Linked DNA regions of Arabidopsis thaliana. The protein of the gene in region 1 purifies or fractionates together with the protein of each later gene. This does not show direct contact. Each region holds a gene or a part of one and is shown in the gene's direction. Other genes may lie near its edges. The genes, in order: HMGS and ATCS.

Region 1 (5,699 bases):
CAAAATCGTGACGTCAGCGTAATCCGACTCATCTCTCAGAGACGGTCTGAAATTGGTACATTCTTTAATGATGTTTGACCATTTTTAGTAACCAAGTCGGACGGTCAGGATGATAATGAGATCTCAATCGGACGGTGGCGGAGATTCCAAGGTCTTAGGGAGATTGTTGTTAGCTTTAGGAAAACGACAATGTTTTCACATGTTTCAAAGTCCAAACTCATTGATTCCAAATCACACCATGTTCTGTCTGATCTAGTTAACAGCTAATCACCAAAATATTACTGTATCATGTATAAATTTTTCGAATTATCTGAAAGGAATCGATCTCTGTCCTACACTTACATAAAACAATTTACACCTAAAATGGGAACCACTAATCTATAAAACTTAAGTTTTATTTATTTAATTTTTTGGTTGAGTTTTTTTTGTTGTTAATAATATTTTGTTTTTACGTGATGTTTCCACTTTTCATGTTGTTGAGGACTATAACATTTCAAAATCTCCCTATTAATAAACTAGATTACAAAGAGAATCAATACTAGTGTTAGAATATAAAAAACAAAATTAGTTAAGGAAGTTTATTGATAGTGTGAATTAATGTATAACTCATGACTTTTTCATGGTGTTGAGTTGGTTCGGAGTTAATCTAATCAATTAATGGTATCGGACACATTAGCAATCCACCAGGTCGTAGGTTTAATTTACCGAATATCATATCTTAAATTACTTCTATTTTTTCAGAAAAAATCAATATTTCTAATCGCATGTAAAATGAGTGTATTTAATTAAGAGAGAAAAAAAAACATATCTAATCGCATGGAAAATGAGTGTATTAATTAATCCTCTTCTTTAAATCATATTCTTTTTTTTTTACAAAATCTTTTTCCATTTAATTTACCGAATATCATATCTTAAATTACTTCTATTTTTTTAGAAGAAATCAATATTTCTAATCGCATGAAAAATGAGTGTATTTAATTAAGAGAAGAAAACAAAAACATATCTAATCGTATGGAAAATGAGTGTATTAATTAATCTCCTTCTTTAAATCATATTCTTTTTCTTTTACAAAATCTTTTTTTATTTAAATGAAAGTTGAAGTTCCTAACAAAATTAAACTATAATTTAAATCTATTTTTCTCTTTCTAATTTATGATTTCTTAAATATGAAACAAAAAAGAAAAGATAAAAAGCAACGAAAAGAAATTCAAATACAGACTTATAAGTAAAATTATACTATATTTCTACCAAAAAAAAAAAGTAATTTATACTATATTTTTTAATTATCTTTAATACTTTTTTATCCATTTTATTTATTCAAAAACAATCCTTAATTCCAAATAGATTGAACTTAACTCCAAGTTATCTCACCAAGTTACATCAGAAAGCTACTCTATCATACTTATCAACAAACCAATTGAATCCAAAACATAAACCAAACCAAAAACCATAACAAGAAAACCAAAACCAAAATTTAGGAGTAGCGAATTGGTAAATTAACGAATAAGAAAAGGGTAAAAAAGGAAACAAAAAGAAGCACGAGGGAGAGCTAACTCACGAAGTCTGCGTTGTCCAGATTCCGGACTGCACCAATCTCTCACAAGTCACAACATATCCATTTTCCAGGTAATTATTATTTGACACCTTTTTTTTTTTTTGTTCTTGTTTTTTTTTTGGTAGGCTTTTTTGTTTGTTCACATGTAGTTGTCCCCAGAAAAATATAAAATAGGTTAATTTTGAACCAAAAAGTTTCTTTAATTACACACCAAAAATTTTATAATTAAGTATTGATTCCACCAATAAATATATCTGGCATGTTTCAGTTAGTTTAAACAAAACCATCAAATTTGAAATTTAAAATTTATAACTAAAAAAATGAAGAACAACTGTACAAGTATTTTGTTGACCAAATTTAAAAAAAATTCACAACTAATTATAAATTAAATTTTTTTATTAGGAAAATAAAAAATAAAGAAAGAAAATCTGCTAATTTTTCTCGTGGACTTGTTTATTAAAAACAAATTGAGTTTTCATCATCAACCGATTCATATCTTTCTTCTTCTTCCTCTACAGCTTCTTCATAAATCTCTCTCTCTTCTCCTCTCTTCTCAAAGATCGAACCTTTCGATTTCAGTCTCTTCAGAGTTCTTTCGTTTTCATCGAAACAATGGCGAAGAACGTTGGGATTTTGGCTATGGATATCTATTTCCCTCCCACCTGTGTTCAACAGGTAACAAAACTCCAAGCTTTTTTTTTTTTATTCTCTCTGTTTATTATTGGAGCTATTGCATTTGATACTCTGTTTTTATCAGAGCATCTTTCTGTTTTGTGTACCGTTTTAATTCTCCATTTTTGACGTTTGGTTTCATAAATCTTCAAACTTTATGAGATTTTACGAACAGGGCTTTGAGAATCAATCCAAGAAAATCTCGTTAGATTAGACACACACACGAACACTTGTTTCATTGTCTCTGTTTTTTTGTTCTTTCTTCTCTGTAATGGCGGCGGAGTTTTGTATCCGATGAAGACAGAAAATGCTCAATTTTTAATTTTCATTTAAGAAACAAAAGGATTTTTATTAAATTTCTCTATTCTCAAACTCGAGATCTCTGCATCTGATTGAAATGAGGACTTTGAAAGGTTGAAAGGGTTTTTTTTTATACTGAGATTTATCGTATAAGTCTCAATTGGAAAAACTGAAAAAGGTACAATTTTGTGAATCTGATCTTGTTGATCATTTTTTGGTTATATAGGAAGCTTTGGAAGCACATGATGGAGCAAGTAAAGGGAAATACACTATTGGACTTGGCCAAGATTGTTTAGCTTTTTGCACTGAGCTTGAAGATGTTATCTCTATGAGGTATTTGTTTTCTGTCTCTTTTCAGTAATGGCTAATTGTTTTTTGTTTGCATATGTATCATAAACTCATGAAAAGACTGAATTGATCTATTTCTTGGTTGTGTTTTTTTAGTTTCAATGCGGTGACATCACTTTTTGAGAAGTATAAGATTGACCCTAACCAAATCGGGCGTCTTGAAGTAGGAAGTGAGACTGTTATTGACAAAAGCAAGTCCATCAAGACCTTCTTGATGCAGCTCTTTGAGGTATTCGTACTTTCTTTTGACCTGGATTGCTATTGTAAATACGTGGACCGCTCATGTTTCTTTGTATGTTGGGAATGAACAGAAATGTGGAAACACTGATGTCGAAGGTGTTGACTCGACCAATGCTTGCTATGGTGGAACTGCAGCTTTGTTAAACTGTGTCAATTGGGTTGAGAGTAACTCTTGGGATGGACGTTATGGCCTCGTCATTTGTACTGACAGCGCGGTATAACATCTTACATGGAAATGTTTTTTTTGTTATGCCTAAGAGTCTTTGCATAATTCTTGACTTGTTTATATTTTGTATGCTTTCAGGTTTATGCAGAAGGACCCGCAAGGCCCACTGGAGGAGCTGCAGCGATTGCTATGTTGATAGGACCTGATGCTCCTATCGTTTTCGAAAGCAAATTGAGAGCAAGCCACATGGCTCATGTCTATGACTTTTACAAGCCCAATCTTGCTAGCGAGTACCCGGTAACTCTTCAATGCATGATATTAAGTATTTCGAACAGAGAATCAAAGTCTTATATGTTATTGTTTCTTGTGTACTTGTAGGTTGTTGATGGTAAGCTTTCACAGACTTGCTACCTCATGGCTCTTGACTCCTGCTATAAACATTTATGCAACAAGTAAGTGTTTCTTTTCACAGTTACAAAAACTCAGTTTCTTTCTTCTGTTGTTGTGTGACTCTTTGGTTTTTATTAGGTTCGAGAAGATCGAGGGCAAAGAGTTCTCCATAAATGATGCTGATTACATTGTTTTCCATTCTCCATACAATAAAGTAATTTCTTAATCCTCCAACAATAGTTTTGTTCTAGTTGAATTGTCTCTTACCAGTCTTCTCCTCTATGATATTGCAGCTTGTACAGAAAAGCTTTGCTCGTCTCTTGTACAACGACTTCTTGAGAAACGCAAGGTTCTTGCTTATTAACTACGTTTTCAGATTGAAAGTTCTTTACTTGTTAAATGTGAGTGAACATTTTCTTTCCTCTATTGCAGCTCCATTGACGAGGCTGCCAAAGAAAAGTTCACCCCTTATTCATCTTTGACCCTTGACGAGAGTTACCAAAGCCGTGATCTTGAAAAGGTTCTCATCATTTCTCTTTTCTTTTGCTTTTGATACTGAGAGAAAACCGATTTATAGCTCAATCTGTTGTCTCTTTTGCAGGTGTCACAACAAATTGCGAAACCGTTTTATGATGCTAAAGTGCAACCAACGACTTTAATACCAAAGGAAGTCGGTAACATGTACACTGCTTCTCTCTACGCTGCATTTGCTTCCCTCATCCACAAGAAACACAATGATTTGGTAATAAAAGAAAACAAACTTTACTTCTTCTGGCTATATTGAACTCCATTTACATTTGGTTTGAAGTTTGTTACACATGTGTATGGTTGATTTAGGCGGGAAAGCGGGTGGTTATGTTCTCTTATGGAAGTGGCTCAACCGCAACAATGTTCTCATTACGCCTCAACGACAATAAGCCTCCTTTCAGCATTTCAAACATTGCATCTGTAATGGATGTTGGCGGTAAATTGAAAGCTAGACATGAGGTAACATAACACAAGAAGTGATTTTAGTTTCAATATGGAAGAAATGAATCGTGTATCATTGATCTCTGACTTGGGGCTTTGTTTTGTTGCAGTATGCACCTGAGAAGTTTGTGGAGACAATGAAGCTAATGGAACATAGGTATGGAGCAAAGGACTTTGTGACAACCAAGGAGGGTATTATAGATCTTTTGGCACCGGGAACTTATTATCTGAAAGAGGTTGATTCCTTGTACCGGAGATTCTATGGCAAGAAAGGTGAAGATGGATCTGTAGCCAATGGACACTGATTCTTGAAAAGGAACAAATCATAAAAAGTCACCTGAAAATGTTATGTTTTACTTGCACCATTTTAATCGTTTTATAAGTTTGTTGTTACTTTGATTTAGGGACAAAGAAGGAATGTATTCTCTGTTTTTATTTACTGTTTGATTTACTCTCTCATGCAAATGATAATTTGGAAATTATTGGAATCTCTATTTTGTATGTTTGTGTTCTTAACTAAGTCCATAAGGGTTACTAAAAGCCACAGTAAACCAACCTTAAGGTGAATGAGTCAAGGCACAACTCCGATCTTATTGGACTAGTTGCATGAAGGTGAAAGTAGGATAGGATCCGATCTAGAACTCACCGAGAGTCGAACAACGGCAAATCGCAGTCTAGAAGGTGACCTTGAAGAAAGCTGAGATAGTTTGTTGCATGAACTAATGTCACATCTAGCAATGTGTTGAAGAATGAGATTAAATCTTTCTCCATATTTCCACATTCAACAGCTTCACCAAATATTACTTTGCTCTTATAATCAGATAAATATATAATTATCATTAACGGTTCTAGAATAAACATAGATAGATAGCAAACAAAACTTTCACTAAGAGATCAAAGTAAAAGCCAAAAGAAAAGAGAAACAATGGAACCTAGGAGTTAGCTTAATAATCTCAAAAGCTGGATTCCTATGGGGCACTAATACAAGGAGTTATAAGTATAACAAGTAGCTAGGATAGACAAAACACAGATGATCAAAGAAGGAAGCAGAGTAACATT
Region 2 (7,042 bases), on another chromosome or scaffold:
TATCAAAGTTTTCATGAAGGTTCGAGTTCTAGGGTTTCCATGAACAGGAATTCACAAGTAATATCCAAGATCAAACCCAAGATTCGCATAATCCATATATTTGCACCGGAGGTCATCAAGACCGACGTCAAGAACTTTCGTTCACTCGTCCAGAGTCTAACCGGGAAACCGGCACCGGGAGAAGCCAAAACCGGTAAAAAGAGAGCCAAATCAAGAATTACGACTCCCCAAGAACCGGTTTGCGATGATCATCAGCCGGTCAACAGGCTTTCGGGTTTCACCGGTTTACTAGCAAACGGAGGAAACCACCAGGTGAAAGAAGAGTGGGGATCAGGTGATCAGAGTACTTCGAACACAAACACGTACTTTGATCTAGAAGGTTTAATTCAAGATGTCGGAGAAGATTACTTCTCTTCGTTTCCCATGAGATCCTCTTCTTCTTCACAAGTCGAAGGTTTCATCTTCAACAACAACAACAACAACAACAACAACAACAACAACAACAACAACAACAACACCAACTTCGATACAAAGGCTCATAATTCGTCTTAATTAATAACAGATTAATTTCTAGGGTTTTCAATCTTATTGATTCTGCAAATCGCATTTGGTGAGATGAGATCTAATCGCAACGATAAGGTCATATTTTGTGGGAGAAAAAAGGCATAGAAGTTGTATATAGATATAACAAATGGGTATGATGAGAGACATAAACTTTTGGCGGGACTGACTTTGCCAAGGTTGAGAGTTGTGATGAAGAGAGTTTAATCTACGTGCAGCCCTTCTAGGAGAAGTGGCTGTATCTAATTAAGATGTGGTCGGTCAAAAAAGCCCTAGTTTTATTATGTAACTTCATTGATGTGCTATTATTGGATGTGTATTAATTCTTTGGTGTGCAGATAAATGTGATGATTGCTGTACTTTAATTTTGGGGAAAAAGTTTGTATGGAATTAGAACAAGGATCGACTTGTTTTCGATATAGATACTCTGATTGATTGTGTATATTGAATATCGATACTTACATAACGGTTATTCGGTTAAAGTACAGTTACACTAATTAAATTAAACTGTAAGTTAACAAGAATATTCTGGCTCAAGCTAAATTATTTTTTTTATTATTATTGTTTACTAATCTTTTGTTACAAATGTTGAAAATGATATTTATTATACATGTAGTACTTCAACTAAAATAAATAACGTGTTTTCATATTTGATGTACGTGTATAATATATCATTTTCAACAGTGAGTAATATTAACCCTTTTATCAAAATAAAGTAAAACAAAATGATATAACCTATCAACAAAATGCAAAGAAAATTGATCCGAACCGAATATAGCCGTAACGGTACACCAAAATTGTTTTGAGATTTTAGTGTCCGTTGACCTTTTCATATAAAGCCAAATTATTCGGTCTGGTTTCCAAAAGAACGAAAAGGTATATGATTACGGTTTACTCCCTTGCTTCTGTGTTTTGGTTTAGTTTGGTTTACCTTCTCAAAGTTCTCGAACGTCAACATTTATTTTATCTTATTTTGTAAGGTTCTGCACATGTTATACTTATTAATTAGTCTACTTTTTCAGGCATTGGGATTATTTGTTTTAGTCTAAATCGGTTTTGGTTGCATAATATTGGATGAAAACATTGTAAAGGACAATTTCAAACCTGACTTTTCTAGATTTGGAAACGTTCCGGCTGCTTGAAAAGCTCACATAAATATTAGTATGATTTCTTAAACCAAAAATAAATGATGATTATCAACAATACCGTAAATAAGGCAAAGGAAATAAATGATGATTATCAACAATTGCCGAAAATAACCACACCGGTACACCGAAATTGTTTTTGAGATTCATAAAACCGGAATAATACGCCTAAAGGTTATTTTCTCCAATACCGGTTTAGTTTGGTTTGCCTTCTCAAAGTACTCGAAGGTCAAAATTGGAATTTAGTAATAAACCTGCTCCAGCTATATACAAATGTCATTTGCTCACCTTTCGCCGATTGATTTTGTACATCACACGCAGACGCAGCTTTTAGTATTTTTTTCAACAATCGCTTTTTTTTTTCTCGATCTCCGTGAAGCTCTCGAATCTCTGGTATGTTTCTTCGCTTCTTCATAGTGTTTCTCATTTCCTTTTGGTCTTCCATAATTTTCGGAGAATCTAGTCCTGTTTTTCTCTTCTTCTGGAATCTGAATTCGCCGGTGAATTCCGCTGATCGAATCTCTGAGTTTTGTTGAATTATTTGATTCGGCGATAAAACTTTTTTTGTTTGTTTCTGATTTTGGTGAGTGTTGATTGCTTGAGTTTTTTCACGGATCGATTTGTTTTGAGAATTGGGTGGATACTGTCTGTCACAGGTTTTGAGTTTTGGAGAATGGTGTTTTTCCGCAGCGTATCGGCCTTTACTAGGCTGAGGTCTCGCGTCGTAAGTATTTGAAAATTTTGTTTCCAGTTTTGTGTTTGTTCTCGTTTGATCTCGCTGGTTCATGCTAATCGATTGATTGGTGATCGAATCTATGTAAGCAGGGCCAACAATCTTCACTCAGCAATTCTGTCAGATGGATTCAGATGCAGAGCTCTACCGACCTGGTAAATCATCTCCGTTGCTTCGTACTTTCGTGTGTGATCGTGATCATGTAGTTTTCATGATCATGATCATATGTAAGTTTAATATTGGTTTGGGATCTGCTGCTTGTGGGGTCTTTGTTCATTTTGTTTAAATGGTGGCAATGCAGGACCTGAAGTCGCAGCTGCAAGAGTTAATTCCGGAACAGCAGGTTAGATTAGACTCTGTTTGCTTTAAATGAAAATTTGTGTTGTTGACTTTTTTTTTTCATTGAATGTGTGTATTATTTGTTATGTTAGCTGAGATTGTTAAGTTAAGAAGGCAGGCTAGTTGTAGTGAATCTCTTTGCTTTTCTAGTTTCCTCTTTTCTCACAAGAATTTTCCAATTTCAGGACCGTCTGAAGAAACTGAAGTCAGAACATGGGAAGGTCCAACTGGGAAACATCACTGTTGATATGGTAGAAACAATCATGATTTTCACGTTTTTGGTTTGTTTATATGATTTTCACCTTCCATTGCATAACTCATCATAATCCCCTTTGAAATAAAGGTTATTGGTGGAATGAGAGGGATGACTGGATTGCTTTGGGAAACCTCATTGCTTGACCCGGAAGAGGTACTGTATAACTCTCTGTATATAGTTACAATAGCTTGGTTAGATCCTAGATATAGAATATATCAAATGCTCCTCCTTCCTGTTCTAAGGCTGTTGATGCAATTATCTTATCATTATTTCAGGGTATTCGCTTTAGGGGATTGTCGATTCCTGAGTGCCAGAAAGTATTACCTACTGCCCAGTCTGGAGCTGAACCATTACCGGAGGGTCTTTTGTGGCTTCTCTTAACTGGAAAGGTGTGGCTCTTCTGTACATTATTATAAGTTGGTTCTGGATATGTCCAGTCGATTAGTTTTCCTCAATAGATTATCTTATGATATCCTTTTTTACCCTTTTTCGTATAGGTACCTAGCAAAGAGCAAGTTGAAGCACTGTCGAAAGACTTGGCGAACCGTGCTGCTGTGCCAGGTTTGGATATTACCTTTTTCGCTCTGGCTGTTGCAAATAAAGGAGTCTGTTTATTGGCTCATTCAAACTTGTTTGACATCAATGCTTACAAGAAATTGCTTAACAGAAATGAAATAAATTTGTGGGTTTTGTGTTATACTTTCATTCATTCTTAACTTGTATCCAATTTTTATACAGATTATGTGTACAATGCCATCGATGCTCTGCCTTCCACAGCTCATCCAATGACTCAATTTGCTAGCGGTGTTATGGCCCTCCAGGTGTGGTTCTCTAAACTCGTATTGTTGTTTCTGTTCTTCTTGTGATAAGCGTTGGAAACTTATTGTTTTTTTTGGCTATAAGTAAACAATTTTCAGCAGAATGATAATTTTCTTTACCTAATATCCAGGTGCAAAGTGAGTTTCAAAAGGCATATGAGAATGGAATTCATAAGTCAAAGTATGCTTTTGGGGTTCTGATTTAGTTCATGATAGCGTTTCATATTAGCTGGCATCATAACAAAGATTTTTTCTTCCAGGTTCTGGGAGCCAACATATGAGGATTGCCTCAACCTGATTGCTCGTGTTCCTGTTGTAGCTGCATATGTTTATCGAAGGTTAGTGAAGACTCTTTTTGTACTCTTTTTCATGTTTCTTGTAGCTTCTGGATTTTCGGCAATGATTTTTTTTTTATTGGAAAATTTGCCATCTCTTGTTTTTGCTTTGTATTGACTGTTGACCTTTTCCATGCATCATTGCAGGATGTATAAGAATGGTGATTCCATTCCCTCAGATAAATCTTTGGATTATGGTGCAAATTTTTCCCACATGTTGGGATTTGATGATGAAAAGGTGAAAGAGCTCATGAGGCTTTACATCACCATCCACAGGTCTGTATTAATTTTCGTCACCCATGCATGTCTCCTTAAATAAGCTTAATTATCTTGTAAATTTGTTTGTTCTTTTTAAGACTTTAAATAGACCTTTGTATAACATTTTGCTTTTCTACTATTTTTTGCTCTAGTGATCATGAAGGTGGAAATGTTAGTGCTCACACTGGTCACCTGGTATGTATATACTCTCCATGTGTCAATTTTAAAGGATTGACCTACCTGAAGTTTCTAATGGTTCTTTTGCTAAAAATTCTTGTTCATGTAGGTTGGTAGTGCACTTTCAGACCCATATCTGTCATTTGCAGCTGCATTAAATGGTTTAGCTGGGCCACTCCATGGTTTGGCTAATCAGGTATCCTCCCTTGTCTATATCTTGAATAAGTCTTAAATCTTCAATCTACAATAGAGCTTCGTAAGTGGCTTTTTGTATTTTATCTAGGTAGGTTGTGATAGTTTGATGATACAACCATAAATTGGAGAAAACAAATTCTTAGTCTTTTTTTATTATTGTTTCAACAGGAAGTTTTGCTTTGGATCAAATCAGTCGTAGAGGAATGTGGAGAAGATATATCAAAAGAACAGTTGAAAGAATATGTTTGGAAAACATTAAACAGTGGCAAGGTAAAAACAGGAAATTCCTCTGCCTTGACATTCTTTACTTTCTGGTCTTGTACCTGAATCCCACTTTTGAAGCCAGCCAACAAGACTGATGGAGCATGCGAAAATGAATTAACATCTTGTCTACTAGTCATCATAATAGGCTAATATTTCAATTTATTGTGTGATACTGTTATGGGTCCTCTTATTTACGACCTCATAGTTTGGTCAGTTGCTCTAACTGCTCCTAGTAAGTAATACTGCCATAAGAGCTTTGGATCCTGTTTTTCCCTATCCTAGTTTACCTTGTGGATGTAATGTTACAAGGATAGTCTAATGATGATCTATTGACGAGTCTTGTTTTGTCTCTAGGTTATTCCGGGATATGGTCACGGTGTTCTGCGCAATACTGATCCAAGATATGTATGCCAAAGAGAATTTGCCTTGAAGCATCTACCTGACGACCCTCTTTTCCAGCTGGTACTTTTTTTCTTTCTCTTTTCTCTTTTCTGTTCGGTTCTCAAAATTCTATCAATGTTCAGTAGCTAACAAAATCCTTCCAACTCTGTAGGTGTCAAAGCTTTATGAAGTTGTGCCTCCTGTTCTCACTGAGCTTGGAAAGGTAGTATCTCTATCCTTCGTTTACCATGGTGATCCTTCAATATTCCACCAACAACTCCACAACACCTTACCTACATGCTAGGGGCTTATGAATCTCTTGCGAATCAATTTTTTATTTACTTGCGAATCCGATGATGGCTTGTTACAGGTGAAGAACCCGTGGCCAAATGTTGATGCTCACAGTGGGGTCTTGCTGAACCACTATGGTCTAACCGAAGCAAGGTAAGAAGTAGACACCTCCTTCAAGTATCATTGAGCCTTAGGATAGCACTCAAATATAATATCTGTGCGTTTTATAGGTACTACACCGTGCTCTTTGGTGTTTCAAGGAGTCTTGGCATCTGCTCTCAGGTAACATATATATATTTACACATTACGCCTTTGTTACTACATAACATTTAAAACAGAACTCATATGCTCTCCATTCTCATTTGTGTTTAATTCACAGCTTATATGGGACCGAGCTCTTGGACTTGCACTTGAGAGGCCAAAGAGTGTTACCATGGACTGGCTTGAAGCCCATTGTAAGAAAGCTTCATCTGCTTAAGTCACCACCGAGTCCTGAGTTGTCGCACTCTCTCGTGTTTCAACAAAAGTCATTCTCTTCCACACTGGATAGCTTTTTTTGTTTTTACCTTCTATTGACAGAAGAAACATTTGTTCATGTAGAAATTGTTCCTGAGAAACACATGCTTGGTGCAAATTTGCATTTCCGGGAAACTCGTGATAATAAATAAACAGTTGTATTCAGTTTGCGTAAAAATCAAACATCAATATCACTCATGAATTAAAGCTTATCTTGGTTTTGATATACATAAAAGAAACAAGACTGCAAAATAGAAAACTTCGACATGAGTTTATCAAAAAGAAAATGGGATTAAGAGCTGCTGGTATTGTCGGTAGTAGTCTCCTTGTTAGAAAGGTCATCATCATCAGCAAGAGAGGCTGTGAAGTTGAGTCTCTCTTCGGCGCCGGCAGTGATAACCGGCATCCAAACATCAGCTGTGCCGCTAAGAAGCGTCTGAACCTGTGGATCAGAAGCTATAGCTGATGATATCATCTCATCCACATCATCTAACTTTGCTGATAACTTGTCCAATTCCTTAGCTATCTCCACCTGAAAACACAAACAATCACACACAAAGCCTCAGATTTACATTACAATGTGTACCAGATATATGAGTGAACACAGGATACAGACCTCATTGAGGTGTTGAGCAGACTTTGATGGCACTTTAGTGACTTCTAAACCAAGAGCTTCAATCTTAGAACGTAGCTCAACCTCTTCTGTATTTGTCAATGATTCTACCTAAGAAACAAAAATCATCAGTAGGCAACAAAATCATCTGTATTTGTCA

The links.
Region 2: the proteins of HMGS (region 1) and ATCS fractionate together in Arabidopsis thaliana (co-fractionation; one large-scale study listed by BioGRID). This does not show direct contact.

What each region holds. Positions count from the first base shown.
Region 1 is NC_003075.7:7,108,370-7,114,068, reverse strand, and holds HMGS (hydroxymethylglutaryl-CoA synthase / HMG-CoA synthase / 3-hydroxy-3-methylglutaryl coenzyme A synthase), read left to right. Parts: upstream 1-1,965; 5' UTR 1,966-2,167; coding exon 2,168-2,230; intron 2,231-2,255; exon of another isoform or gene 2,256-2,640; intron 2,641-2,753; coding exon 2,754-2,860; intron 2,861-2,971; coding exon 2,972-3,104; intron 3,105-3,186; coding exon 3,187-3,330; intron 3,331-3,419; coding exon 3,420-3,578; intron 3,579-3,659; coding exon 3,660-3,733; intron 3,734-3,809; coding exon 3,810-3,885; intron 3,886-3,964; coding exon 3,965-4,020; intron 4,021-4,103; coding exon 4,104-4,191; intron 4,192-4,272; coding exon 4,273-4,413; intron 4,414-4,508; coding exon 4,509-4,658; intron 4,659-4,750; coding exon 4,751-4,945; 3' UTR 4,946-5,185; downstream 5,186-5,699. Other genes in the region: AT4G11810 (Major Facilitator Superfamily with SPX (SYG1/Pho81/XPR1) domain-containing protein), read right to left, coding at 5,619-5,699.
Region 2 is NC_003071.7:18,314,294-18,321,335, forward strand, and holds ATCS (Citrate synthase family protein), read left to right. Parts: upstream 1-1,984; 5' UTR 1,985-2,099; intron 2,100-2,126; exon of another isoform or gene 2,127-2,289; intron 2,290-2,362; 5' UTR 2,363-2,379; coding exon 2,380-2,430; intron 2,431-2,528; coding exon 2,529-2,594; intron 2,595-2,740; coding exon 2,741-2,782; intron 2,783-2,963; coding exon 2,964-3,029; intron 3,030-3,121; coding exon 3,122-3,187; intron 3,188-3,309; coding exon 3,310-3,423; intron 3,424-3,531; coding exon 3,532-3,595; intron 3,596-3,772; coding exon 3,773-3,855; intron 3,856-3,983; coding exon 3,984-4,033; intron 4,034-4,112; coding exon 4,113-4,190; intron 4,191-4,334; coding exon 4,335-4,463; intron 4,464-4,597; coding exon 4,598-4,640; intron 4,641-4,731; coding exon 4,732-4,818; intron 4,819-4,985; coding exon 4,986-5,087; intron 5,088-5,435; coding exon 5,436-5,543; intron 5,544-5,634; coding exon 5,635-5,685; intron 5,686-5,832; coding exon 5,833-5,906; intron 5,907-5,983; and 5 more. Other genes in the region: AT2G44340 (VQ motif-containing protein), read left to right, coding at 1-552; AT2G44360 (ecotropic viral integration site protein), read right to left, coding at 6,562-6,801, 6,886-6,993.